5 linked regions of the Coturnix japonica genome follow. The protein of the gene in region 3 interacts with the protein of the main gene of each other region in a pairwise test. Links are inferred from orthologs where the notes say so. Each region holds a gene or a part of one and is shown on either strand. Other genes may lie near its edges.

Region 1 (5,268 bases), on a different chromosome or scaffold from region 3:
AAACAGATTTTTTTATATATATATATATGAGTGAGTTTTAATTTAAGAGTAATCTGTTGTGGTGTTCACATGCAAGTCCTGCTGCTGGGAAAGTTGGAGTACCGTGTAATGTTGCAATAAAGTATTTTAAAGGAGCACGGCGGTGTCAGGGCTTTCCCTTTGCTGCTGTTCCCTGCACAGACGGGGCTGTGCAGCAGGAAGGTGAGCGCGTTGCATTGCGTGTTTGCTGGCAGCTCGGCCGATCTCTCTTCTTATCAGCTTCTGGCTTTTTTAAAGAAAGGAAATATGAACCAGGAAGCCAAGATTAAAAAAAAATGGCTGCAGTGTGTGAGCAGCCCCAGGTGCTGCTCTGCTCCACGGGGAGACACGGAGCCAGGAGGTGCTCAGCACTACACGAAGCTTCAGGGACTGCTCCCCATGGGCCGTGATGCTTCCAGGAGCAAGGACAGGAGCTGGACATCTGCAGGAGCTGTAGTGTCCAGGTGAGCACCCAGGTAAGCGCGGAGCCTTGTGCGATGCCCCGCTGGATTTTACAGCAGAGGTGGCACTTCAAGGCAGCTGCCACGTGTGGGTTATGGCCTTGCCCCTTGCCCCCACCTCTCACAGGAAGATGTTTAACCCCAGCCCCTCTGCCCAACATCACAGAGGCTGCTTAATGCACAGCACAGTTGGGAACGTGCTCGCTGCTGACCAGAGCACAAGGAGGGCAGGGAGTTGCACAGCCCCTGGTCTCCTTTTGCAGCCGGGACAGCTGCAGCGCAGTGCTGCAAGGAGCCGCTGTTGGTGGCTTTGCTCTGCCCCCTGCTGGGGACAGGACGAGGGGAGGGGGACAGGGCAGGACGATGCACGGATGCAGCCACACAAAGATGCAACTGCAGGTCAGAGCTGCTCCAGGAAGGACCCAGCACGGGCTTTATTTTCCAGAACAGGAGCAGGACAAGCCCTACTGCTGTCCTGGGTGCCAGGGCTGTAGGGCTGCCCTGACACAAGCAGCGCAGGGAGCCCAGCCCAGCCCCGTGGTTACAGCACCATGAGCAGTGGGATCCCAGGGCTGGATGCTCCCAGACCCCTGGACGTGCTGCTCCCAGCTGTGCAGCAGCCCCCAGGAGCCAGGCCAGGCTGTGGTGCTTCCTTCCTTCCTCCCCTCACTCCATCACTGCCGGCTCCTGCCCCTCCACGTCCCGTGTCTTGGAGTTCACCAGCTCCCTGCGGATCTCGGCTGAGATCTGTGGGTGGCTGTGGAACTTGAGCAGCTCGAGCAGAGCTTCCTTCTGCTCCGAGGACAGGTCCTCCTTGTAGCGCTGGGCAAGAGCCAGGAAGCTCTGGTGCCACAGCACGGGCAGCGTGCGCTGGTCTGTGCGGAAGGCCAAGAAATGGAAGACCAGGGCATCCACCACACGGAACGGCAGCGCGTACTTCTTGTCGATGAGCAGCCGCAGGAAGATACTGTTGGCACCGTTATATGGCATCTCAGCAATCTTCAGCATGGCTGCACTGTGGGGACAAGGGGAGCAGCAGGTGAGGGCAGGGCACAAAAAGGACGGCTTTGAATCAGCCCTGAGCAAAGCTCCCCCACTCTGAGCTGTTGGATGGGCTGAGGGGCAGTGACTGCCCCAGTGCATTACCTGGAGTGCAGGACAGGGATGGAGCACTTGGTGAGGATGCTGCCGATGATAATGGCCTCCCGCAGTGTGCAGGTCCCCGATTCACACAGGGGGATGAGGATCCCTGTGGGGAGAGAAGAGCTGGGCACCACTGGTCATTGCAGCAGGCAGAGCTGTGGGGTGTGAGGCTCAATCTCTGCTCTCTCAGGGCACATTTAACCCAAGGAAATAACATCTCTGCATCATGGGCACCTTTCCACCTTCCTCCCCCTGCCCTGCCCTGCAGCAGGTTCCCAGGGGTGGAGTGCAGCCCTGCAGGGAGCCCCTACCTTTGAACCAGGCTCCTGGCTTGAACAGAGCCTTCTTCAAAGCCATGTAGAGGTGGAAGTTGAGGCGCTTATACTCAGCGATATCATCTCTGACCCGTGGCAGCAGCACCAGGTTGTAGAACCTCTGGGCCATCCTCTCCTTCAGGTTGGATGAAAATATCCTGTGAAATGCAAAGCATGAAGAGTGAGCTGTGACTCCAGAGCCATCCACCCCCAGCATCAGGATCCCCTCTGCTCCACAGGCACAGGGCAGGAGGAGCAGCTGTAGGACACACGATGGTATTTTGTCCATCTCGTTCCATTACAAGGAGAAAACAACAGCTCAGAGCACACTGAGCTGGTCCCACCTCGTGGCCTGGTACATCGCTGCTGCCGTCCACGTCTCGGGCTCCGTGATGTAGAGGATCTGCTCCCAGTTGGACAGGGCAGGAATGATTTTAAATGCCTTGGGGAGCTTCCCACTCCTGTATTTGGACAGCACCTTCAATGGAAGCAGAGGGGGAAGGGTTTGTCTCAAGGCTGTAAGCAACCTGTCTGCTCCCTGTGCAGCTCCACTGCGTGTGCTCACACAGCACGTATGTGCTCACAACACCCGAGGGACACAGCAGTGCTGTCTGCACTGCTCCGCCGGGAGCTGGGGGGTCCCACAAAGGTGTGTGTGGGGCCGGGGGGGCCGCAGTGCCCTCACCTCTCTGACGCCTCTGTACACCTCTATCACGCGGGGGTCGAGCTGGGGCATGGGGCGGCCCGACAGCTCGGACAGCGCCGTCTGCACCTCCGTCTGCTTCTCCGTGATCTTCTCCATGATCACATCCGCCAGCGTCCGCCTGGGGGGGCGGCAGGGGTCGGTGATGGGGAACCGGAGCTCCCCGTCCACCCCCCGCCCATTCCCACCCCTCCTCCGGTACCTGAGCGGCGCCGCGCGGTTCATGAACATCTCCAGGGCCTTCTCGTCCTCGGGATCCACCTGCACGTCCCCCCCGCCGCCCGTCCCGTCCCACTCCGCCGCCCGCTGCAGTGACGGCCACTCCTCGTCCTCATCGTCCTCCTCCGACCCGCGCCCGCTCGGGGCTGTCGGTGCGGGCGCCCCGGGGCCGTGCTCGGCCTCCAGCTCCTCCTGCTGCCTCCGGGCCTCCCGCAGGATGCGCCGGGACAACCGCGGCCCCACGTATCCGCCGTCCCGTTCCTCCGCATCGCGCCCCGCGTCCCGCGCCCGCCGGTTCCGCACCGTGGGGGCCGCAGCCCGCAGGATCTGCTCGTGCAGCGGCTCCGCCACACGCGCCGCCTTCGGCATGGCCGCAACAGCGACACGCGATCAGACGCGCCGGCGCCAGCACGGCCAGCCCCGCCCCTTCCGGTACCGGCACCGCCACTGCCGGGACGGAGCCATGGGGGTGACCTGGTGAGGGGCCGGTGGGGATGGGGTGATGGATGGGGTGATGGATGGGGTGATGGATGGGGTGATGGGGTGATGGGGTTGGGGCTGGGTTTGGGTTTGGGTTTTGTGGAGGCCCCGCGGCCATTTTTGCTGTTTGTCGCCCCGCAGCGTGACGCAGGTGCCCGTGTTGGAGGGTAAGAGCGTGCAGCAAACCGTGGAGCTGCTGAGCAAGAAGCTGGAGCTGCTGGGAGCCGAGAAACACGGAGCGTTCGGGGTGGACTGTGAGACGTATCACACGGCAGCCGCCATCAGCAGCCAAGGTGGGAACCCGGGGGGGGCGGGTGTAGTGCGGACATGGGGCATCTGCTGGGCTGGTCAGCATGGAGAGGAGAAGGCTGAGAGGGGCTGGGGGCGCTTATCAACCCATACGAATGTTTAAAGGGTGGGTGTCAAAGGAACGGGCCAAACGCTGCTTTTCTTTCAGGGCAGACGGGCAAACTGATGTACGTGATGCACAACTCCGAGTATCCCCTCAGCTGCTTCGCTCTGTTTGAAAACGGGCCCTGCCTGATCGCGGACGCCAACTTCGACACGTTGATGGTGAAGCTGAAGGGATTCTTCCAGAACGCCAAGGCAAACAAGATCGAGAGCCGGGGCACGCGGTACCAGTACTGCGACTTCCTGGTCAAGGTGGGAACCGTCACCATGGGCCCCAGCGCCCGCGGGATATCCGTGGAGGTGAGAATCACCTTTAAGGGTATGAAATCCAGGGCAGGGAAATCCCATGTTGGAGGCTTGGCTAGAAACCTTGAGTCCCCATCCCTTCCATGTATCATCTGTGTTACTCGTTGCTGGCAGGTTGTATTAATGCATTCAATGCCCTCCTGCTGCAGCTTTGGCTCTAAAGCTGCTTTCTCCTGGTCACAGAGCTCTGTGCTGTCAGTGCTGCCCCAGATCTGAGATGAGGTGCTGAAAGGTCTTGTAAAATCTGAGCATGTGTTTCCCTAAACACACAAATCCTATTAACTGGTCTGTAATTAATAATGATGGCGCATCTACCCAGGCAGGTGTTCCGAGCTAACAGGGATGGGATTGAGAAATGCCTTGGTTTTGCTTCATAAGAATAAACACAGATGTAGTGGTGCGAGCTGCTGCTGAGCTGGGGTTAAAGAGAAGCTTGTTTTACCCTAAGCTTGAGTCCAGGACCAGATTTTCCTGGCAGTCCGGCTGCTTCTGCTTTGGTTTAGTAGGTTGTTTTCTGGGTGTCCATTAGTACATAATCCCTGGTCTGGAACCGCAAGTCCTTAAATCCCAAGGCTTTATCATCACACATCTGAGAGATGTCGTGGCCACACAGGCTGTTAACAGCGACTCTTGGGAGAGAAGTTTGTCGTTGGATTTCCACTGCTGGGGGTTTAAAATGACGGATGAACCTAAAGGGGAAATTTCCCTTTCTTGTTCTTCTCTTTTGAGGAGCTGGTTTGCACATTCCCTGTGTGTCCTGTTCACATGTTTGTCCTTCTGCTGTTATGTGCTCAATGTTCTCAATTGAAAAGCACTGTTATCCCTCTGCAGTGCAGTACAGAGGAGGTGTTTGCTGGCTTCAAACTCTTGATGCATATCTCATTTAGGGCTGTTTTTTGTTGCCAGGTGGAGTATTGCCCCTGTGTGATCGCCAACGACTGCTGGAACCTGCTGATGGAGTTCATGCAGAGCTTCATGGGCAGCCACACTCCCGGCATCCCGACTGTGTTTGGCACCAAACACGACAGCGTCTACAGCCCCGCGGACACGATGGTTCAGTACATGGAGCTGTTCAACAAGATCCGCAAGCAGCAGCAGGTGCCGGTAGCAGGGATCAGGTGAAGGGACTCGTGGAGCTCAATGTGCAGCAGCTGCAGGTCGGGGTCCGTCCAAAGAGCAGCTCTGCAGCCAGAACAAGGCACTGAATAACTGT
Region 2 (4,771 bases), on a different chromosome or scaffold from region 3:
CTGAAGATACATGCAGAATATCAGAAAAAAAGCCAGGCATGAGAACTGTAAAACCCCACAAATGAGAAAAGACAGTTGTCCTATGCTCTTGCAAAAATACAAGAAATACTAAGTGCTAAACTTGTTCCTACTGCTATTGCAAACCCACACTCTCATTCAACTTCTAAAAAGGGCATTTACATTTTGTATTAGCCTAACAGGGCTCCAGAAACTTGCAAGAAAGGGGAAAAAAAAAAAAAAAAAGGCAAAACAAAATAAAAGAGAAAGCAGAGGGAACCATGTGAGCAGAAATATTTCCACATCAAGTTACAGTAAGGACATATGTTACCCTTCCGTATGCAGTGGTCTGCAGAGAAAGAATACAAAACTTCTTTCAGAATAAATATTCTCCCAAAGGATCAGACTATCTTCTTTTCAAGTAATTGTACATGGCATTGGGTCTGGTACCTAAAGCAAAAGCCATATCTAAATCTATTCTTGCTAACATTTCTGAAAACTTCAGGGTTGACTTTTTTTGCCAAGTGGTTTAGTTTTAGGGAAAACTTTCAGTTCTTAAAGAGTCAAGATATTAAAGACATCGGTTCCTTTACAACCATCTTGACTTTTTCCCTGAAGACAATGCAAACATAAGCTACCTCAGTAAAATAGATTCATTGCCCTTTTGAGAAAAGTATTTAACATACAGCTAGAAAACGCAAAACTTGAAGTTGTTGAAGCTTATTTACCTTGTCTGTCTTGGTTGTGCCAGTTGATTTTTGAACAAGTCAGTGTATTATGCAGTGCCCTACCCTCATCTCTTTATGGACATAAGATTTTAGCTCTACTCACACACCAGCTATTGCATTGTGGCATTAAGTGAGTTGTTGTTCAAAACAACTTTTCAGCACTGTATTTGTGCAGACATTACAATATGTCATTAGACTGATGGTAATGCAAAAGCATTTTAATATCCATCCTGCACGTGGATTCATTTCTTCACAATCTGACATTTTCCTTCTTTTGATGTAATTGTTTTTACATGCTCTGTGTTGAACTTATGGGATAATACATACATACAGATGTTAAATTGTAAGCATAATTTGCTTTTTACCTCCACTTTTGCTACATGTAATTCAGTCTATACAATGAGACTGTGCTCTTTCTCTAGTTATGATGCGGCATCGCAGAGCCTCATTTCTATGGCTCCATCTAGTGGCAATCTCTTCTTCCTTAAGTGCAGCTGACAGCTCAAGATGACAAGGAAATCAGACATTGTTACCCGAGTAAGCTGTGCACAAGCTTTATATCAACACCGGTTATTTATGCACTTACATCTCCAAAAGTACATTTCCTAAATCAGGAGAGTTTCTACTTGTACTGTGAGCAAAAAGTGGATAAACAAAGCCAGGTTCACAGTCAACAACTTAAATGCTTACATTGTTCTAACAAGCTAACTTCACTTGCAGCTTATGCCACAAACACAGAACATCAGTGAGCAAAGTAAAGTCAGAGAATTAATTTTCACCACCCTTATTTGCTCTACTAAAGTAGCAGCAAATAACACAGATGAAGAATAAAGTCTTGCTGGCAGCATGTCTTGGACTTAGTCTGTGTTGCACAGACATCAGAATTGCTACAGAGAATTTTTCTTTGGGAACAGGCAAAAAAGGGAAATTTTGATACAGCTTAACATTATCTTGGTGTGTCAAATATCACCACTTTCCTCACAAAAGTCAGGGCTGAGTTAACCTTCTTCAGTGACTCAAGTCACCCTGGAAGCTATGAAAGAGGTGAATGACTAATACGTAACACATTTATTTTATATCAAGCTCTATCTTTAATTGAGCCTTATCTCCTGAAGTTACTCCTGTGAAAACACAAGTAAACACATGAAAATCCACAGATTACGTCTCCCTCAGAACAGCTTAATACGTACTGTCCTTTAAAATATCCACCAAAGATTTTCCCTTCTGAGGCTGAAGTCGATTACAAAGCATCAGCTTTTCACAGGAGCTGGTGTTAAAATAGCTGTGGTCAGGAAACAAGAACAAAATGTCCTGTGCACTGAACAGAATCAGAGTTGGAACAAAAAGCCTCGACAGCAAATAATTTTTAAAGGACTTATTTGCTGCACCACATGCCAGTTATTTGATTTCATACGTTAAAAACGAGCTTTGAAAAATAGCAGTGCTCCAGGAGCACTCTTAGCCTAACATACAGCCTGCTTGCCCAAGAAAACATTGCAAATAATTCATCCAGATAGGGCTTTCGAGCCAGTGTGCCATTTATTTTCTAGTCAGCTATTTAGTGACAGTGCCAACCACCACAACACAAACAGCACCATGCCTCTCAGAAGTGCACCAGATGCCCACCTGCACTTAGTATGGTAGATTTATACAAATAGCATTGGCAGGACCAGGGTGCAGATTAGTTCTGCAAACAGGTGAAACCAACAGGATTTGGGGCTGGGGACATTGTGCCAAAGACCACAACAGGCAGACTGCTGAAAATGTGCAGACAACAGAAACAGGCTTTGAAGGTGAAGCTGGTTCTTCACAAGTCCTCAGTGTCAACCACATGAAACACCAGGACAATACCTCTTGTTCTTTGTCAGCTCCAGAGCACTTGTTGACTTCCTGGAGGGCCTGCTGGCTTGCAGAGGAGGTTTAGTGACAGGGGTGATGAGCAGGGCATCCAAGAGCAAGCGGTAGGCACTAGGATCAGAGAGCCTAACAAGCATTTGAAAAGACCACGTATAGAAATTAGTTGACTGAACAGCAATCAGGTTGGCTAGGATTAGCTGAAAAGCCAAGTAAACTTCTTCAGGTTCTACAGCAGTATGGACAAACTGAACTGAGAAATGCTATTCAAATAGGTGGTCTCCAAAGTGGTGTGTACACACTCCAGTGTGCAAGAAAACTCACCACAGTATGGGAAATATACTTATCTTTTATTTTTTATTTTTAATAAAATATTTTAAAGGTTTATTTAATCTTTTCCCTCTTTTTCTTTTTCTTTTCTTTTTTTTTATTCTGGCTTTGTGTGTTTTCCATAACGCACACAATCCATTAGCACATGTCATGTATACAGTTTAGTAATTAAGAAAATATACATATATTAGGAATGCATGTTCAGAAATCATATATATCTATATATATGCATTACTGATTGATGTGCATGGTCAACAAAGTTTAGACCACTTAAATAAGTAATCCCTTATGAAGAGCAATGTGATAAAGATTTAGATTCAACTCTCCAGTTGTAGTCTTCAGCATCCAAAAGCTATTGACTGATGCAGATAATTCTTTGTCATCTGTACAACAGTTGTTATTTTCAGTCGGTTTACTGACTGAACCACAACACGGATGTCCATGAAGAGAAGAGAATCGAGATTCAGAGCAGTACTTTGGAGCTAAAATAAAAGGACACAGGAGCTGTGGTAATACTGACAACTTGCCTACCACAGTATTGTGAAAGAGCTTAGACATTCTTAAAGCAAACTATGAAAGGTTCCCTTTAGAGCTGATCTCTACCTGGCATGGACAGCAATGGCAGCAGAAACGGCAGCAGCAGCCATACTCTTAATTTTTGATCTCTGCTTAAAAGGAGAAAAATCAGGAACAGGAGCAGTTCCAAGCTTGGCCGGACTTCCTGAAGTACTTCCCAGAAATACTGTTCTAGCACACAAGCTTTGAACCAACAGAGAAAACAAAGAAAGCAGAAAAGATTGACAGAGAAACAGTACAATACTGTACAGCATTAACTACTGGAAAGTGATGCTACCGTAGGTTACCAGCTCTCAAAGATTTCAGGGCAACATATTAGCAACTTCAACACTAACACAGAAAACAGCAATTCTGCTTTTACCTACAAATAAGTTTCCACTCATCAAGTCAGAGATCAGCACCTACCAGCTTTCCAGCTGTCCACCCTAGGCTACACGTCACCCTCAGCTTGTTCCCAATGAACCCTCTGCCTATGACTAATTCTCTATGGTGTCAGTGGTAAAAGTCCTAAAAGTCAGTTAGTTCACTCCATATTTTTAGAATAAATAAACACTAAAAATGTTGATAGAACTGCAGCACGCTTCTCCCACCCCTTAGCATTTCCCCTATTATCTCGTTGGAAGGAACATCAGCTCTATGCTGGTGATATATAATTCAAGTTCTTTTTTGGCCACAGAATTGCTGTGTATTTTTTAAATCACTTCAAAAATTAACAGAAGACTCCAAATACCTCCATTTATACAACCACATGTTACAGTCCTTCTTGGATTTACACACAGAAATCTCTGCTTGAAAATGATGCATACCCCCAAGCAGTCTGCCATAGCTATGCCTTGAAAGATTTACCTTGTGTGACTTATGGATGACTTAGACTGACAGCTTGAGATAATACCAAAAGCATTTGTTTCGGAAGTAGGCACAGATGCATCATGCCTGCCCAAAAGCAGTAGGAGAAAAAACGAAATAATTAATCAGATACTTATTATACTTCTAGAGATGTTAGCTAAAGCTCAAGAGAAGTTCATTTAAGGATTTCTACAAGCACTCCTGAGCCAATAAAAAAACAGGTATGGTTTAATATCCTTAATTATTAAGTACTAGCGTGCTAATCTGCATGTTAGAAGGGTAGAACAAATTGTTCATTGCAATTGAATGAACCCACATACACGTATCCCCCTTCCCAGTGCTCACTCCAATAAAGTCTTATCTTCTAATTCTTCTACCCTCCCTCCTTTCAGAAGGAGTAGGGGTGAACGTGAGGGAAGCCATCTTTCACTATTGGTAAC
Region 3 (5,288 bases):
GAGATGGGAAGAACAATACTATCTAACCTCAACATACGGAAGTCTACCCCACGTAATAGTTGTTTCAGGGAATTAAGGCGGGAAGCAAAACCAGTACCTTATAGGATGAAACTTCAGGGCTGTAGTTTTCATTTAGTTCCAAGCGCTGTTGAAAGAAACACAAATTAATGACGGTTTCTCCTGATCCCTTCCCCAGGCACAGCTCCTTCAGCAATGGGAAGCACAGAAACCAAGGCACCCAGATCCCAGTGCCTATCACAGCCTGCCAGGACTCACTGCTCTGAAGGGTTCCTGCTCAGGTCAGGCTGTGAAAGGAGATCATGGAGAAAAGTCCAGTCTCCTCAGCAGCAATTATTTCAGTTTTCTTTGCTTCTTTAAAAAAAAAAATCATTTTATTTGGAAGTGTACCTATTGATACAGGCTTTTGGCTGGCAGGACTGTGTATGGTTCCCTGCAAAACTTACAGGGCCCAAGTGAAACAGCGCTGACCTACTGACGTTCAGTACTTCCAAAGATCCTTACCTTAAAGGCAATTCTTTGTCCCACTTGTGGTGGGGCAGCTAGAAGTGGTAGAACGCTGTAGTCTCTCTTGGGGACATCCACAGCATTCTGCAAAACAAAGAGCTGCTGATAAATTCAGTCTGCAAAGAGCTGAGAATAACAACCTGGCACACGTGTGCTGGGTCACAAACAACTCCACTGAGATTTATGAGTTTCCCATAAAAGCTCTCAGTGTAACCAAGTGTGTGAATCTCACCTGGGGGGGGGGGAAGAGGTTTTAAAGGTACAGGCTAAAGAATTCAGAGCAGTGCTCAGTGAGGGCAGTTGTTCCTTGGGGTGGGCATCTTTGGGGATGGAGGTGTGCTTTGGTATTATAACGAGTGCATAATGAGCAAAGTTCACCCAAAGGACGGCATTTTGTCTAAGAATGACAGGCTGCCCACCCAGGGTAGCACATCTGCAGCTTAGTACCACCAAGTTTCCATCCATCCCAGCACTGCAATTACAGCCACTAACAGCAGTCCTCCAGATGCTGCCAACACCACTACTGTGGTTGCTCAGGGAGCTGCTGTGGATCACAGAACCTGGCTGCAGTCTCCCTCCACTCCACCTCCAGTGCCACCTGCTGGCGGATCAGCATCTCAGCTGCACTCTGCTATGAACAGCGCTGTGCCTTCATTCCAAGTTGCCCATAGCAATTATTCCACCAATACAATCACTTATTGTTTCATAAGTTCTTCTGCAGGACATATACTGCAAACATCAAATGTACCGTGTTCAGATCTATCAGCCTTTACCCTACTTACCTTTCTTCAGCTTTTCCAAATTACCCTCACGCTGTACTTAATTATACAGTTAAGGCTGTGACAGAGAGCTGGTCAATGACTGCGTAAGTCACTCACCTGGACAGGAACAGGGGTGTTTGTCACAGCTTCATCCAGCTGCCTCTGTTTCTGGCCTTCACTGCTGTAGCTATAGAAGAAGCCCGTGCTTTCTCCTCTGCCCCAGCCCCTCGCCATCCCCCGGAACCCGCGGCCCCTCGGTCCTCTCCAGAAGTTCCCCGCTCCCGCTGCACGCCCCCTCCCACGCCCCAGCCCAGCAGCCAGCCCTTGGACTCCTGCTGGTGACTGTTTGGAGCCGTTTCTTGCTATGGAATTACTCAGTCCAGCATTGGCTGCAGGTTTTTTAATGACGAGTGTTTCTGAATCGGAACTGTCGGACTCAGACTCAGAGCTCCCGGCTTTGGGAGCCCCAATGGCCCCAGTCTGTGCCACTGCTGTGCTGTTGGGCAGCGCCTGCTCTGCAGTTCTGCCTTGTGCTGGTGCTGCTCCTTCATCCTCGGAACTTGAGTCCGAATCTGAACTGGAGGACTGCGGTTTCTTAGCGTTTTTACTACCTGCATCCTTACTGCCACGTTTAGCATTCGACATTTGCTTACAAGCAGCAGCAGTCACTGCAGGTTGTGCTTTGTCTCTGGGAAGCACCATTGCTGCAGGTCTGTGTGAGGATTTACTTTGCTTTACGTTTGATTCAGCGCTGTCACTGTCGGACGATGTGCTGGAGGACTCCGACGTTCCCACCCTCTGCTTCTGGGCCTCCAGTGTCCGATTACTGGGGGTCAGAGCAGCGCTGCCCACCCGTTTATGGGCCGCCTTTGACACAGGTAGCACTGCCTGCTGCCCATCTTTTGCTTTGGCTGCCGGTGCCTTCTGCAGCCTCGGGGCTCTGCCCTTCTTCCCCTCTGGAACCATCCCGCTGTTCTCTTCCCTTCTCTTTCTCTTCTTGGATTTCTTCCTGGTGTCGGATCCATCCCCGGCGCTGTCCTCTCTGCCGGACGAACACTCTGGTTCACGTTTCTCCTTCCTCTTTTCCCTCTGATGTTTTTCCTCCTCTCGCTCCTTCTGCCGCCGTTTGTGCCTTGTTTTATCACCTTTCTGTGCCCGGCACTCTCCATCCGTCTCTTCGCACCGCTCCTCCGTGATCTCCTCCAGCGTCACCCTAAAGAGACACAAACAAACAGCATCCAGCCGCGCTCACACTGCGCTCACACCGCCCCCATATCACACAGAATGACCCGGGTTGGAAGGGACCTCAAGGATCATGTAGTTCCAACCCCCTGCCTGGCAGGGCCACCAAACATACACCTTTACTAGATCAGGTTGCCCAGGGCTCCGTCCAACCTGGCCTTGAGCATCTCCAAGGATGGGGCACCCACAGCTCACTGGGCAACCTGTGCCAGTGCCTCACCACTCTCCTAGTGAAGAACTTCCCCCTAACATCCAACCTAAATCTTCCCTCTTTTAACTTAAAACCATTTCCCCGTGTCCTGCTATTGTCAGCCCTTTCGAAGAGTTTACTCCCCTCCTGGGAGTAAGTTCCCTTCAGGTATTGAAAGGCTGCAATGAGGTCACCCCGCAACCTTCTCTTCTCCAGGCTGAACAAACCCAACTCCCTCAGCCTGTCCTCATAGGGGAGGTGCTCCAGCCCCCTGATCATCTTCCTGTCCCTCCTCTGGACCCTTTCCAAAATCTCCCATCCCGTCGTACCGCAGCGCATCGTTGTCCCGCACGAGCCGGGCGCTCTCAGTGGGCGGCAGCAGCGCCCCGTCCAAGAACAGGCTGAGCCGGGCCCGGCGGCTGAAGCCGAATCGGTGCCGGATGATGCTGAGCAGGTCGGTGACCAGCCGCGCCTGACCCGGCTCCAGCAGCAGCCAGCACAGCGCGCAGCCAGGGCTGCCCGGCGGCGGGAAATCGAACTGCAGCCGCAGCCGGAGCGGGGAACCGACAGCAGCCGCCATGTTGGGGGCAGGGAGGGGAGGAGGGACGGCGGCCTGAGGGGGACAAAAGGGGCGGGATGGAGAGAGAGAGAGAGGGGCGGGACTGGAGCTGCGGGAGAACTGCTGTGGGGATGGCAGCGGGGCGGGCTGCTGCGGGGATGGCGCTGATCGCGGCTCTGGTGGCAGGTACGGGCCGTGTCCGGGCACCCCTTGCAGTGTGTGGGCAGCGCTTCGGGGCTGAGCGGGGCGATCCCCGCTGTCCTCTCGTGTCTCAGAATCACAGAATCACAGAATTACCCGGGTTGGAAGGGACCTCAAGGATCATGTAGCTCCAACCCCCGTGTTCCGTCTCCTCGCGGTGCCCTGCGGAGCGGGGCGGCCTTAGCGCGGTCCTATGGCCCGTCCCGAGGCGGGGCGGTGCCGGCCGATGAGCTCCGCGCTTCGTTCCCCGCCGCTCTTGGTTCGTTGGTGGCCGGTCAGTCAGCTGTGGGTGTGTGTATATCTACAGCCGGGCTCCTTGTGGTAGTTTCTTAATTGAAGCCCTTCTAATTATCACACCCAAGGCTGAAACGCGATGTTCTGAGCCGGGTTCGGTGGGGCTCCTGGTGTTTCCCCCACTGACGGTCTTTCTGCCCACAGGAGCGGCTCTGGAGCCCCCCCGGGAGCTGTGGGGGTACGTGCAGGTCCGCAGCAAGGCGCATCTTTTCTGGTGGCTGTACTACAGTGCGGGGTACAACGAACTGCCGCTCGTCCTGTGGCTGCAGGTGAGTGGAATTACATCCCCCAGTCACGGTGCAGGAGCAGACGCTGCTGGTGGCTGTGATGAGCTCCTGTGCTGTGTGATTCTGTGGCACCTGCAGCCTGTGGGGGTGGGCAGAGCAGGCAGAGAAGTACAGTAAGTTCTGTAAGGGAACAACAGAGAGAAACTGACTGTCACCGTGACTGGTCCCATTCAGTCACAGCTGATAGCAGCCATCCCTGTGTGCTCTGCATTCACCTCCAGGACTGTGTTTCAGAAATGAACATTAGATGTGATCACTTGCTGACTTGGTCCTTTCCCTTCTGTGTTATCAAGGGGTAAAATGTGTGTTCTGTAAATGCTGGCTAAGAAAAATAACCCAGTGACTCACAGACTTCTGTGTTTTGGCTAATTTTTGTACTTGGGATTAAAGGAATTGGGGTAAAAGTTCTCATACGGCACCCAGCTCATAGTGAAAGACAGTGAGGAACAGAGCCTTCTCTGCAAGTTACTGAGGAGTGCAAAGGGCACTTTGACTTCCCCTATGAAATTGTGCTTACTGTGCTGTTTTGTTCTGCTCCTGTCTCCCTCATCTATGGCGTGCTGCCTCCTAACTCAGTTATTTGCTCTTTCCCCTTAGGGAGGTCCGGGATCTTCAGGCTGTGGGTTTGGGAACTTCGAAGAGATTGGTCCGTTGGACAAGGAGCTGAAACCAAGAAATACTACCTGGGTATGGCTGAGAGTTCAGCTTGTAATTATCAACTGCAAAACGTATTGCCTGTGTAAGCAGGTGCTTGCTAGGTTGAAGTGGGCACTGAACAGTTTCCATTTGAAATTCAATAGAACTATGAACCTTTATCTTAAAATAGTCAGGCTAATAACAATGGCTTATACTAATAACCTTGTTAAGAACTGAAGAGTAGGCCTGTTCATTTGTTCTGATGGAATATGTAGACCATCATGAATATGTGAACTGTGTGTGTTACTTCTGCTCATAGCTTCATTGCTTGTAGTCTTAAGGGCTCTTCTGGGTGGCTGGCAATGTATAAGCAGTGGCTGGTAATTACAAGCCTTGTATGACCTTCAAGGGAAACCAGCTGTAATTACAGCTGCCTGTGGAGGTAGAGGTTTATTCACTGAGCAACCAGTAGCCTTAATTAGTTGGGAGGTCCCTGGGTCGCATGGGTGAGCTGCCCTTGGATGGCTGGGAGTTCTGGTTGCCTTTCCTGTTGCACATTGGGCAAATGGAAGGACCTTGCACTGTGTCTCTTC
Region 4 (3,703 bases), on a different chromosome or scaffold from region 3:
TATCCCGCAAACTGAAGGGGATACTAGAGTTGCTTAATTCTCTTTGCATTAGGCTGAAGTATGTGGTTTTAGTGTCTTTGCAGAACTGCTGAATATGAGAAAACTTAGCCACTATCCCATTGTAATAAATGGAAAAGTTAGATCAAGTGTAGAGATTGGTAGGGTAGTAGCTATAGCCAGAGGCTGGCTGTCCTCTAACTGTTCTTTCTGAGACAATCTCTTCTTGAGGTTTGAGCAGAGAAGTCTGATCCAGCAAGCAGTGGAAAGGTGGGTTGTTTTGGCCAGGCAGTCCCAGGCTGCACATACATCCTATATGAAGCCAATGAAATGACTGACAAGTGGGAAGCTTGCACTCATACCAGCAACAGAGCAGTGCAGGTGTTTGGCAAGACTCTGATCCTGTTCACAGTTACATGCATTAATTCTCACATCCATTGCCTTCAGATGTATTTTACCTAAGTGAGGAGCACTGCGCCACCTGATTTACTGTTTTCTGTGATGGAGCTGCCAGTCTGCCCCAATTTTTAACAAGACACTATAGGCTGACTTCAGTGAAAAAATGAGCTCCGCTAGCACTGCAACCTACTAAGAGTAATGCCTCATTCATAGCAAACAAACATCCTCTGTGCTGTTTCTGGAGCCTGGAACTTTGCTCTCTTTCTAACCCCCCTTGATTGCCCTAGCTTCAAACACTGTATTTCTAACCTCAAAATGACCACTGTGAGGAAATAGTGAGATGGAAGTGTATGCTGAACTCTACCCAGCAACTCCAGGAAGGCCACAGGCAGAGGCTTCCTCTAGTTCAACATTTTACATAGACAAATGATTGTATTTCATAAAACACATTTATTTTTTACGGGCAAAAGCATCCTAAAGTTCACAAAAAGAAACCAATAACAACCTGTATGTAATTAAAGAGAAACATCTACATATGTAAGCTGTAGCTGTGAAGTGGATGTCGGCCTTCATTTATTTCCTTGGGAGAAGCTGGTGGCTGGGTCAATCAACTCTCATTTCTCCAGCGGTGCGTAATTCAACAGCTTCTCAATCAGATCCACGTGTGCCAGGAGCATCCTGCGGCAGCAGTAGCGCTTCAATCCGAGGGCATCCAGGGCATCTCTATTAACAAATAACAACACGATTAAAAGAAATAAATACAAAACGAGTCAGAACCGCTCGTAAGTGCTCCTAAGCAACGCAATGATTGCTCTGAGCTTAGTTTAAAGCAAGGTATTAGCGTGTGCTGTTAATATGACACCCACCCCTCGGTGTACTCCGCCTGCAGGAGCCCGAGATACGCCTCCCACTTGTTGCCCACGATCTTGCCGCACGTGAAGCATCGCACCGGGATGATCATGGTTCGCACAGCGCCGCTTCCTCCTGCAGCTGCCCGAGCGCAGCCCTACGGCCGCTCCCACTGCACCGGGGGGACACGGGCGGTGCGAGCCGTTCTTGCTCAGCCGTGAGGATGCAGAGCGGCGCTGGAGCTCCCCCGTTCCCGCACAGGACGGCGGATGGTAGCGGCCGCCCTACGGCTCCTTGCGCGGCTCAATAGTGTTTGCGAGCGGGGCGGGCTGCTGATCGCGTTTCGCGTGCGCGGCGCGTGGTGGCAGCCGGGGCCGGCGGAGCGCAGAGCGGAGACACCGGCGGGGCGGGCTGAGCCGAGCCGAGGAGGCGCCGTGCCCTTCCCTCCCTCCCTCCTTCCTTCCTTCCGCGCTCTCACTTGTTGCTTTACACCCGGACTTCTGCAGAAGGCACTTCTTCATCGCGTCCTGCTCGAGGTACCGCAGCCGCGCGGGGTGGAAGCGCAACTGGTGGCTGCAGCCCGGCGCCAACCAGCGGGGCACGGCAGCGCTGTGGGACGGGGCAGCACGTCGCACTCCCCTCCCTTTTCCTCCCTTTTCTTTCCCTTCCCGGTGCGCGCACTGGTAGCGCCAGGCGCGGTCCGTCTCGCGGCTGTGTTGGCGTCCCCAATTTGGGGCGGTTTGCTCCGTGTCCTCGCTCCCCTTTGGAAGGGGAAGGAGCCGGGCAGGGGCTGCGCTCCGTGAGCTGCGCTCGGCGCCGATTTGCGCGGCGTTGCCCGCTCATTTGGAGGAAGCCGGGCTGCGGAGCGCTGCCGTGGTCAGCGGGGTAAGCGAGGTTAGCGGTCCCGTGGCGGCGGCAGGTCAGTCGGGAGTTGCTGAACTCCGGGTCTGGGGGCTGTGGGGGGTGATGTGGGGGGGTTCAGGGCTGCCCGCTGTAGCGTTCCTCGGTCTGTCGGCGAGCCGCGCGCAGCGAAAGCAAACGGGGCATAAGCCGTCCTTGAGGCGCTATCCCGCTCCCCGGAGGGTGGAGGCGGCCGTGGCACCGCGAGCGTCGCGTTGCAGCTTTACTGGCTGCCCCCAGCCGGGGAAGTTGGGCTGCAGCGGGGGATGCGTCGTGAAGCCGCGTGCGATCCTCCCGTGTGAGCGTCGCGCGGAGTGCTGCGCTATGCGATGCTTGTAACTTGAGGGCGGCACGTTGCTGTTCGGGACAGACTGGGTTAAAGCGTCACCCCGAGCGCTGTCGGTCCTTAGTGCCCTCTTGCTTCACGGTTGTCCTTGGGCAGAGCGGGGATGCACCCAAAATACTGTATTTTGCTGCTGGAGCATCTGCGAGTTGATACGGCGCGCGGCGCAGAGCCATTACTGTCAGGCGTATAAAGTCTTAATGCACAGCTTATGTTAATACGCCTTTCGTGCCTGTGTTTTGGACCGCTGGGTTGCTGACCCTCCGCGCAGACCTAACTTGAACTGTAGAGGAGCAAATAGTTTCGTTTTAACCGGCGAGGTTGTTTGAAGGAGGTTTTGCAAACGTTTCCTAATGAAAAGACAGCGATTTTTGCAGCCCCGGGGAGTGATTGCACTCAGCTGTGTGCAAGCAGCACGGCTTGGCTTGGAGGGTGGAGAAACCTCCTGCAGATTGTTATCGTTATTGTTGTTTCAGGCCAGTGGGAGCCAAACTCTCTTTTCTTTTTCTCCTTTGCTTTCTTTTCTTTTGGGGGAGGGAAGTTGAGAATTTGGAGACGATGCTTTGATGTGTTTTCAGCACCAGGGCTCCAAAGCAATTTTCTTGTTGAACTGTGACGTGCAAGGCGTTTGTATTTGGAGACAGACATTTGCTGATGGGAGGGAGAAAGGATGGTGGTGGTGGGGTGGGGGGTTATTGTTGATGTAGGCTGGATTCGTGCAGCTGCCCGGAGGAAGTGCTCTTGTTTAGCTTTTAAAAACGAAAGCAGGTTTTAACTTTCCCACCCAGTTCTCACATGCAACTTTGCATCTCTCTTGAAGGAAACTTTCCTCTGCTGTTTTCACAGCGTTTGAATTTGCCTTTTCTGGACATCCTGCTTTGACTGCTGGAGATGATCTTAGTAATCTAATAGCTCTATTGTGGCTGCAGCTTGTTTGATCATAGAAGATGTGAGATGTTTGATCTGTGACCTGAAGAGATTTCTACACGCTGATGACGTTCTTTGCCTGACTTCATGTATGGTCTGCTCAGTCTGAGCACTTGCCAAACCACAGAAGTCTGTTGGAGGCAGGGGAGATGTGTGCATGTGGCTGTTAATACTCCCAGGCAGTGTTTTAGGGGCTGTAGTTCACCCTGGTTAGGGTGTCATTTTCTGCTTCCTTGTCAGGAGTGAGCTTCAATCATTGCTGTGCTACCTTCCAAGTCTTCTTTTCAG
Region 5 (4,246 bases), on a different chromosome or scaffold from region 3:
CTGGGACACACAAGGGGCCCAACCCCTTGATCAAAAGGTTGGTTATGGGGTATGATGGGTACGTTGGCTCAAATGCCGCACCACCGAGCAATGTGCATCTTCATTCAGAGCATTCTCCTTCACCAGGCACACAAAAAGCGAACAAGAGTTGGAAGGTGATGCTGTGCTGCTCCCAGGAGTTCCTGCTGCTTATTTTGGCCTTCCCCACCAGTATCACAGTATGAATGAAAACAGAAATCAAAGAGCGGCAACAGTGTGAGCCAATGTGTCAAGCATGTCGCACAGCACACTGTGGTGGAGCTCAGCACAGCAGGTCAGTCCTGCCCAGCATATACTGGAGCTTCCCAGTTACACTGAAAAGCTAACACTATCACACAGGTGTTTTCATGATGATGGCACCACCTGCTGATGAAGCATTAAGATGAGGCACAGTTGCAGTGCCCTACCCACAGCTCAGTGAGCCACGCTGATATGGGAGCAGGTTCTGTTTACACCTACTGTGCTGGGGAGTTTTAACTCCACAGCTGGGTCACTGCCTTTTTGCTGTATTTAATCCATCTGTAGCACTGAAAGTATACCTGTGTATTTGAGAATAGATGTAAGACAAATGGTCACTGATGAGACAGCGCAAAGTCACACACAAATCCATGAGGTACAGCCATTTGTGTTTTGGCTTGTAGAACCTCTCTCCAGCCTAGAGATGCAAGTAGATCCTTCACAAGGGGAGGCTCTGACTAGCAGCATCAGCAAAGCAATGGTTACCTTTAGGAAATGCTGATAGGTACAGAACAGCTTCGGTTAATGTCAATGGTTGCTCTTAACATTTGAGAAAGCAATTATGTTCCTGCCAAAACTTCAGTTATCTGGATGCCTGATAACAAAGAGTGGCCTGTTGTTAGTGTTTTGTGTGTTCTTTCCATAATACTGCAGATTGAGATCAGGCATTCCCATTCCACAGGCTGTTTTAGCTCTATGAATGCCACTGAAATTCATGACTCTTTATAGCCTCTGGGTGAACTCCCCCCATAGTCAAATACAAGAACAAAATAAACACCTGATGACAACGTTGTGGAAAAGAAAAAAAAAAAAAGAAAAAAAACCCTTTATTTCCAGATATACAAATCATCATTCTCTCATTTCTCCATCTTCTTCCTCTTCTTCCACACCTCTGATGTACAAAACATTATTGCACCTGTAAATAGAATCAAGAGCTCCCTTAGTTGAAATGTCTTAATTTCCCTCGCAAATACAATGTTCACTTCACATGGGAGTTACAGCAGCATTTAGTGCTCCAATACACAGAATCACACAGAATCACAGAATTACCCAGGTTGGAAGGGACCTCAAGGATCATGTAGTTCCAACCCCCCTGTCTGGCAGGGCCACCAAACATACACATTTACTAGATCAGGTTGCCCAGGGCCCCGTCCAACCTGGTCTTGAACACCTCCAAGGACGGGGCATCCACAACCTCACTGGGCAGCCTGTTCCAGGACCTAACCACTCTTCTAGTAAAGAACTTTCCCCTAACATCCAACCTAAATCTTCCCTCTTTCAACTTAAAACACAAGCACATCCCCTAGATCCACCAGCTTCAACAAAGCAGTAACACAAGACACAGAAGTCCCCACAAGACCCCGTTCCCCAGCTCAGGCACCACGATTACCTTATCAAAACTTCTCCCAGGTGTCCAGACAGTGCTCCATCGATGTACTCTTCTGTGTTTGCAAGCTTGGAACGAAAATCAGCACAAACATTACACCAACAGGAGCCTCACTACTGCTTCCCTCCCACAAGCAAGCAAGGCCCGGGTCCCTCCCTCCATCCCTCACCTGCATGTTCATGTAGCCGTCGACGGAGACGAGGTATCCCTTGTACTCCATCCCCCACTTCAGCTTCACCATCACCGGTTTCCCCGTCAGCCCGTTGAGGAAGGGCTTCGGGTTGAGCGGCAGGCTCTAGGGGAGAGCAATGGTCAGCACCGCCCGCCATCCCAACCGCTAACGACAGCCTCCCCCCACCCTGCCCTGCCCTGCCCTCACCATGGCGATGGGGCGCGATGGCGGCCCGAGAAGCGCAGAGCCAGGCGGGATCGCCTCGTGCGCGCCGCGGGCTGAGGCAGAATGGAAGGCAGCGCTGAGATACCTTCCACTTCCACTTCCGTGCCGCCGCGCCGACCTCCAACCTCTCACCCCGCCGCGCCGCCTTCGCGATTGGCTACGGAGCCACGGAGCGCGAAGGGAAAAGGGGTTGTGGGCTCAATCTTATTAGTTGGAATGGCCGCCCTCCTCATTGCTCCAGCCAATGGTCGTATACCACCTCTGGTTGTGTCGTCTGTGGTGGCCGGGGGGTGGCAGCGCAGCACTGTGCCGCCGCTCTGCTCTGTTAGGCCTTTGCCCCTCCATCCCTCTCCTCCCCTTCCCTGTCCACCTCTCCCTCAGCCCCCGGCTGCCTCACACCGTGTCTTCTGCAGATCCAGAATGTCCCCCCTCACATCCCTACCTTTATGGATGGATAGGATAAGAGCAGCAATTACGATTCTTCTTAATAAATGTTTATCTGAAGTGCACTCGTATTTGTTTCTGTGATAATTTATAATGGATGTGTTTGTCCTCATGTGTTGGCTGGGGAACAGAGATAACGTTAAAATAAAGCTTTTTTTTTTCTTTCTGACAGTAAAACTCACTGGGCGCCAGTTGAAAGAGAATTGCTTATAAGTTTATTGCAAGGAAGTTAGTGCTGAGGATATGTAGGAAATAATAAACAATGTGGGAAATCGTGTATATGGACGGTTTTCATGCCCCTTGCAGCAAAGAATAGAGAACTTGGAGTGAAAACATACAAGGCGTCAGAATGCAATGAGCTCAGCATGAGTCCTTTGGGTTAAAGGCCATGGAAGACTTGCACTTTTCTGACAGTTGTTAATGGTGTATATGTGAATGACAATAGAACAATATGAGTGTTTTGTCTGTAAACAGCACTTTTTAGGTTTGGAACCAACTTTTATCATGTCTCCTACTTGTGTTGGGAAAGCTGTGTACCAAGAAGTACAGGACCAGCTACATTCTTTTCTTCATATAGTCAGTTCCTCTGATGCATGACTTGGAGAAGGACTTGGGGGTCCTGGTGGATGAGAAGCTGGATGTGAACCAGCAGTGTGTGCTTGCAGCCTGGAAGGCCAATGGTGTGCTGGGCTGCATTAAAAAGGGGTGGCCATCAGGGAGAGGGAGGTGATCGTCCCCCTCTGCTCAGCTCTTGTGATGCCCCATCTGCAGTACTGTGCCCAGACCTGGAGCCGTCATCACAAGAAAGCTGTGGAACTCTTGGAATGGGTCCATAAGAGGGTCACTAAGATGATCATAGGGGTGGAGCACCTCTCCTATGAAGAAAGGTTGGGGGAATTGGGCTTGTTTAGCTTGGAGAAGAAAAGGCTCCGGGGAGAACTCATTGTCGCCTTCCAGTATTTGAAGGGAGGGTAGAAATAGGAAGGGAAACAACTGTTTATGAGGGTGGATGGTTGTAGGACAAGGGGGAATGGTTTTAAATTGAGATGGGGAGGTTTGGGTCAGATATTAGAAGAAAGTTTCTCACACAGAGAGTAGTGACCCACTGGAACAGGTTGCCCAAGGAGGTTATGGATGCCCCATCCCTGGAGGCATTCAAGGCCAGGCTGGATGTGGCTCTGGGCAGCCTATTCTAGTGGTTGATGACCCTGCACATAGCAGGAGGATTGAAACTGTATGATCATTGTGGTCCTTTTCAGCACAGGCCATTCTATGATTTGATGATTAAGTATTCCAGCCCTATTGTTATAAAATCACCAGAAAATAGAAGCATTTCTCAAAGTCATAGGTATCAGTATTGGAGTCATAGTTGGGAGTAGGAGTGCTTAGCTTCTAGTTTCATAATCAGTGCAAGAATTCATGTGTCAGTAACCTCATCAGCTACAGATGAGGTGTTGCCTGTTGGTAGGGTAGAAAGATGTCCTGAAAGCACAGAATGGATGACTGCGTCTGCTGTAGGTAACTGCATAACTTGGTTAATCAAGAAACAAAATAGTTTTTTCCTTTTTTCCCCCTGTGAGGAATTTGCTGTTTACTTTGTTGACTGAATCATTCTGAGTCACAGGATGGTTTGCTTACGTGAGTCTTCTTGTGGCCTTCAGCAGAGGGGTGAATTTCACCTTTTGTCCTCTATGTGTTTCCCCATGTAATAGGAGAAGTAATAGTTTGCATTCTTTTCTACC

What was found.
Region 1: the proteins of COIL (region 3) and BYSL interact in binary tests that used the Homo sapiens proteins (3 or more experiments, as listed by UniProt). The link is inferred for Coturnix japonica from reciprocal best matches to the Homo sapiens genes COIL and BYSL.
Region 2: the proteins of COIL (region 3) and PDZ and LIM domain protein 5 interact in binary tests that used the Homo sapiens proteins (3 or more experiments, as listed by UniProt). The two-hybrid records come from large-scale screens. The link is inferred for Coturnix japonica from reciprocal best matches to the Homo sapiens genes COIL and PDLIM5.
Region 4: the proteins of COIL (region 3) and POLR2L interact in binary tests that used the Homo sapiens proteins (3 or more experiments, as listed by UniProt). The two-hybrid records come from large-scale screens. The link is inferred for Coturnix japonica from reciprocal best matches to the Homo sapiens genes COIL and POLR2L.
Region 5: the proteins of COIL (region 3) and SNRPF interact in binary tests that used the Homo sapiens proteins (3 or more experiments, as listed by UniProt). The two-hybrid records come from large-scale screens. The link is inferred for Coturnix japonica from reciprocal best matches to the Homo sapiens genes COIL and SNRPF.

Annotation. Positions count from the first base shown.
Region 1 is NC_029541.1:4,735,015-4,740,282, reverse strand, and holds BYSL (bystin), read right to left. Parts: upstream 3,228-5,268; coding exon 2,842-3,227; intron 2,761-2,841; coding exon 2,622-2,760; intron 2,415-2,621; coding exon 2,281-2,414; intron 2,095-2,280; coding exon 1,934-2,094; intron 1,729-1,933; coding exon 1,626-1,728; intron 1,495-1,625; coding exon 1,146-1,494; 3' UTR 880-1,145; downstream 1-879. Other genes in the region: MED20 (mediator of RNA polymerase II transcription subunit 20), read left to right, coding at 3,226-3,335, 3,480-3,631, 3,796-4,049, 4,962-5,159. UniProt on the Homo sapiens protein: Required for processing of 20S pre-rRNA precursor and biogenesis of 40S ribosomal subunits. May be required for trophinin-dependent regulation of cell adhesion during implantation of human embryos.
Region 2 is NC_029519.1:52,359,040-52,363,810, reverse strand, and holds part of PDZ and LIM domain protein 5, read right to left. Parts: intron 4,419-4,771; coding exon 4,332-4,418; intron 3,669-4,331; coding exon 3,513-3,668; intron 2,709-3,512; coding exon 2,577-2,708; intron 1-2,576. UniProt on the Homo sapiens protein: May play an important role in the heart development by scaffolding PKC to the Z-disk region. May play a role in the regulation of cardiomyocyte expansion. Isoforms lacking the LIM domains may negatively modulate the scaffolding activity of isoform 1.
Region 3 is NC_029533.1:7,746,100-7,751,387, reverse strand, and holds the start of COIL (coilin), read right to left. Parts: upstream 3,336-5,288; 5' UTR 3,299-3,335; coding exon 3,048-3,298; intron 2,500-3,047; coding exon 1,404-2,499; intron 610-1,403; coding exon 523-609; intron 146-522; coding exon 98-145; intron 1-97. Other genes in the region: SCPEP1 (retinoid-inducible serine carboxypeptidase), read left to right, coding at 3,355-3,463, 3,917-4,041, 4,657-4,746. UniProt on the Homo sapiens protein: Component of nuclear coiled bodies, also known as Cajal bodies or CBs, which are involved in the modification and assembly of nucleoplasmic snRNPs.
Region 4 is NC_029520.1:8,951,458-8,955,160, forward strand, and holds POLR2L (DNA-directed RNA polymerases I, II, and III subunit RPABC5), read right to left. Parts: upstream 1,441-3,703; 5' UTR 1,358-1,440; coding exon 1,263-1,357; intron 1,120-1,262; coding exon 1,011-1,119; 3' UTR 827-1,010; downstream 1-826. UniProt on the Homo sapiens protein: DNA-dependent RNA polymerase catalyzes the transcription of DNA into RNA using the four ribonucleoside triphosphates as substrates.
Region 5 is NC_029516.1:41,569,350-41,573,595, reverse strand, and holds SNRPF (small nuclear ribonucleoprotein F), read right to left. Parts: upstream 2,200-4,246; 5' UTR 2,046-2,199; coding exon 2,043-2,045; intron 1,959-2,042; coding exon 1,833-1,958; intron 1,732-1,832; coding exon 1,667-1,731; intron 1,193-1,666; coding exon 1,126-1,192; 3' UTR 1,067-1,125; downstream 1-1,066. UniProt on the Homo sapiens protein: Plays a role in pre-mRNA splicing as a core component of the spliceosomal U1, U2, U4 and U5 small nuclear ribonucleoproteins (snRNPs), the building blocks of the spliceosome.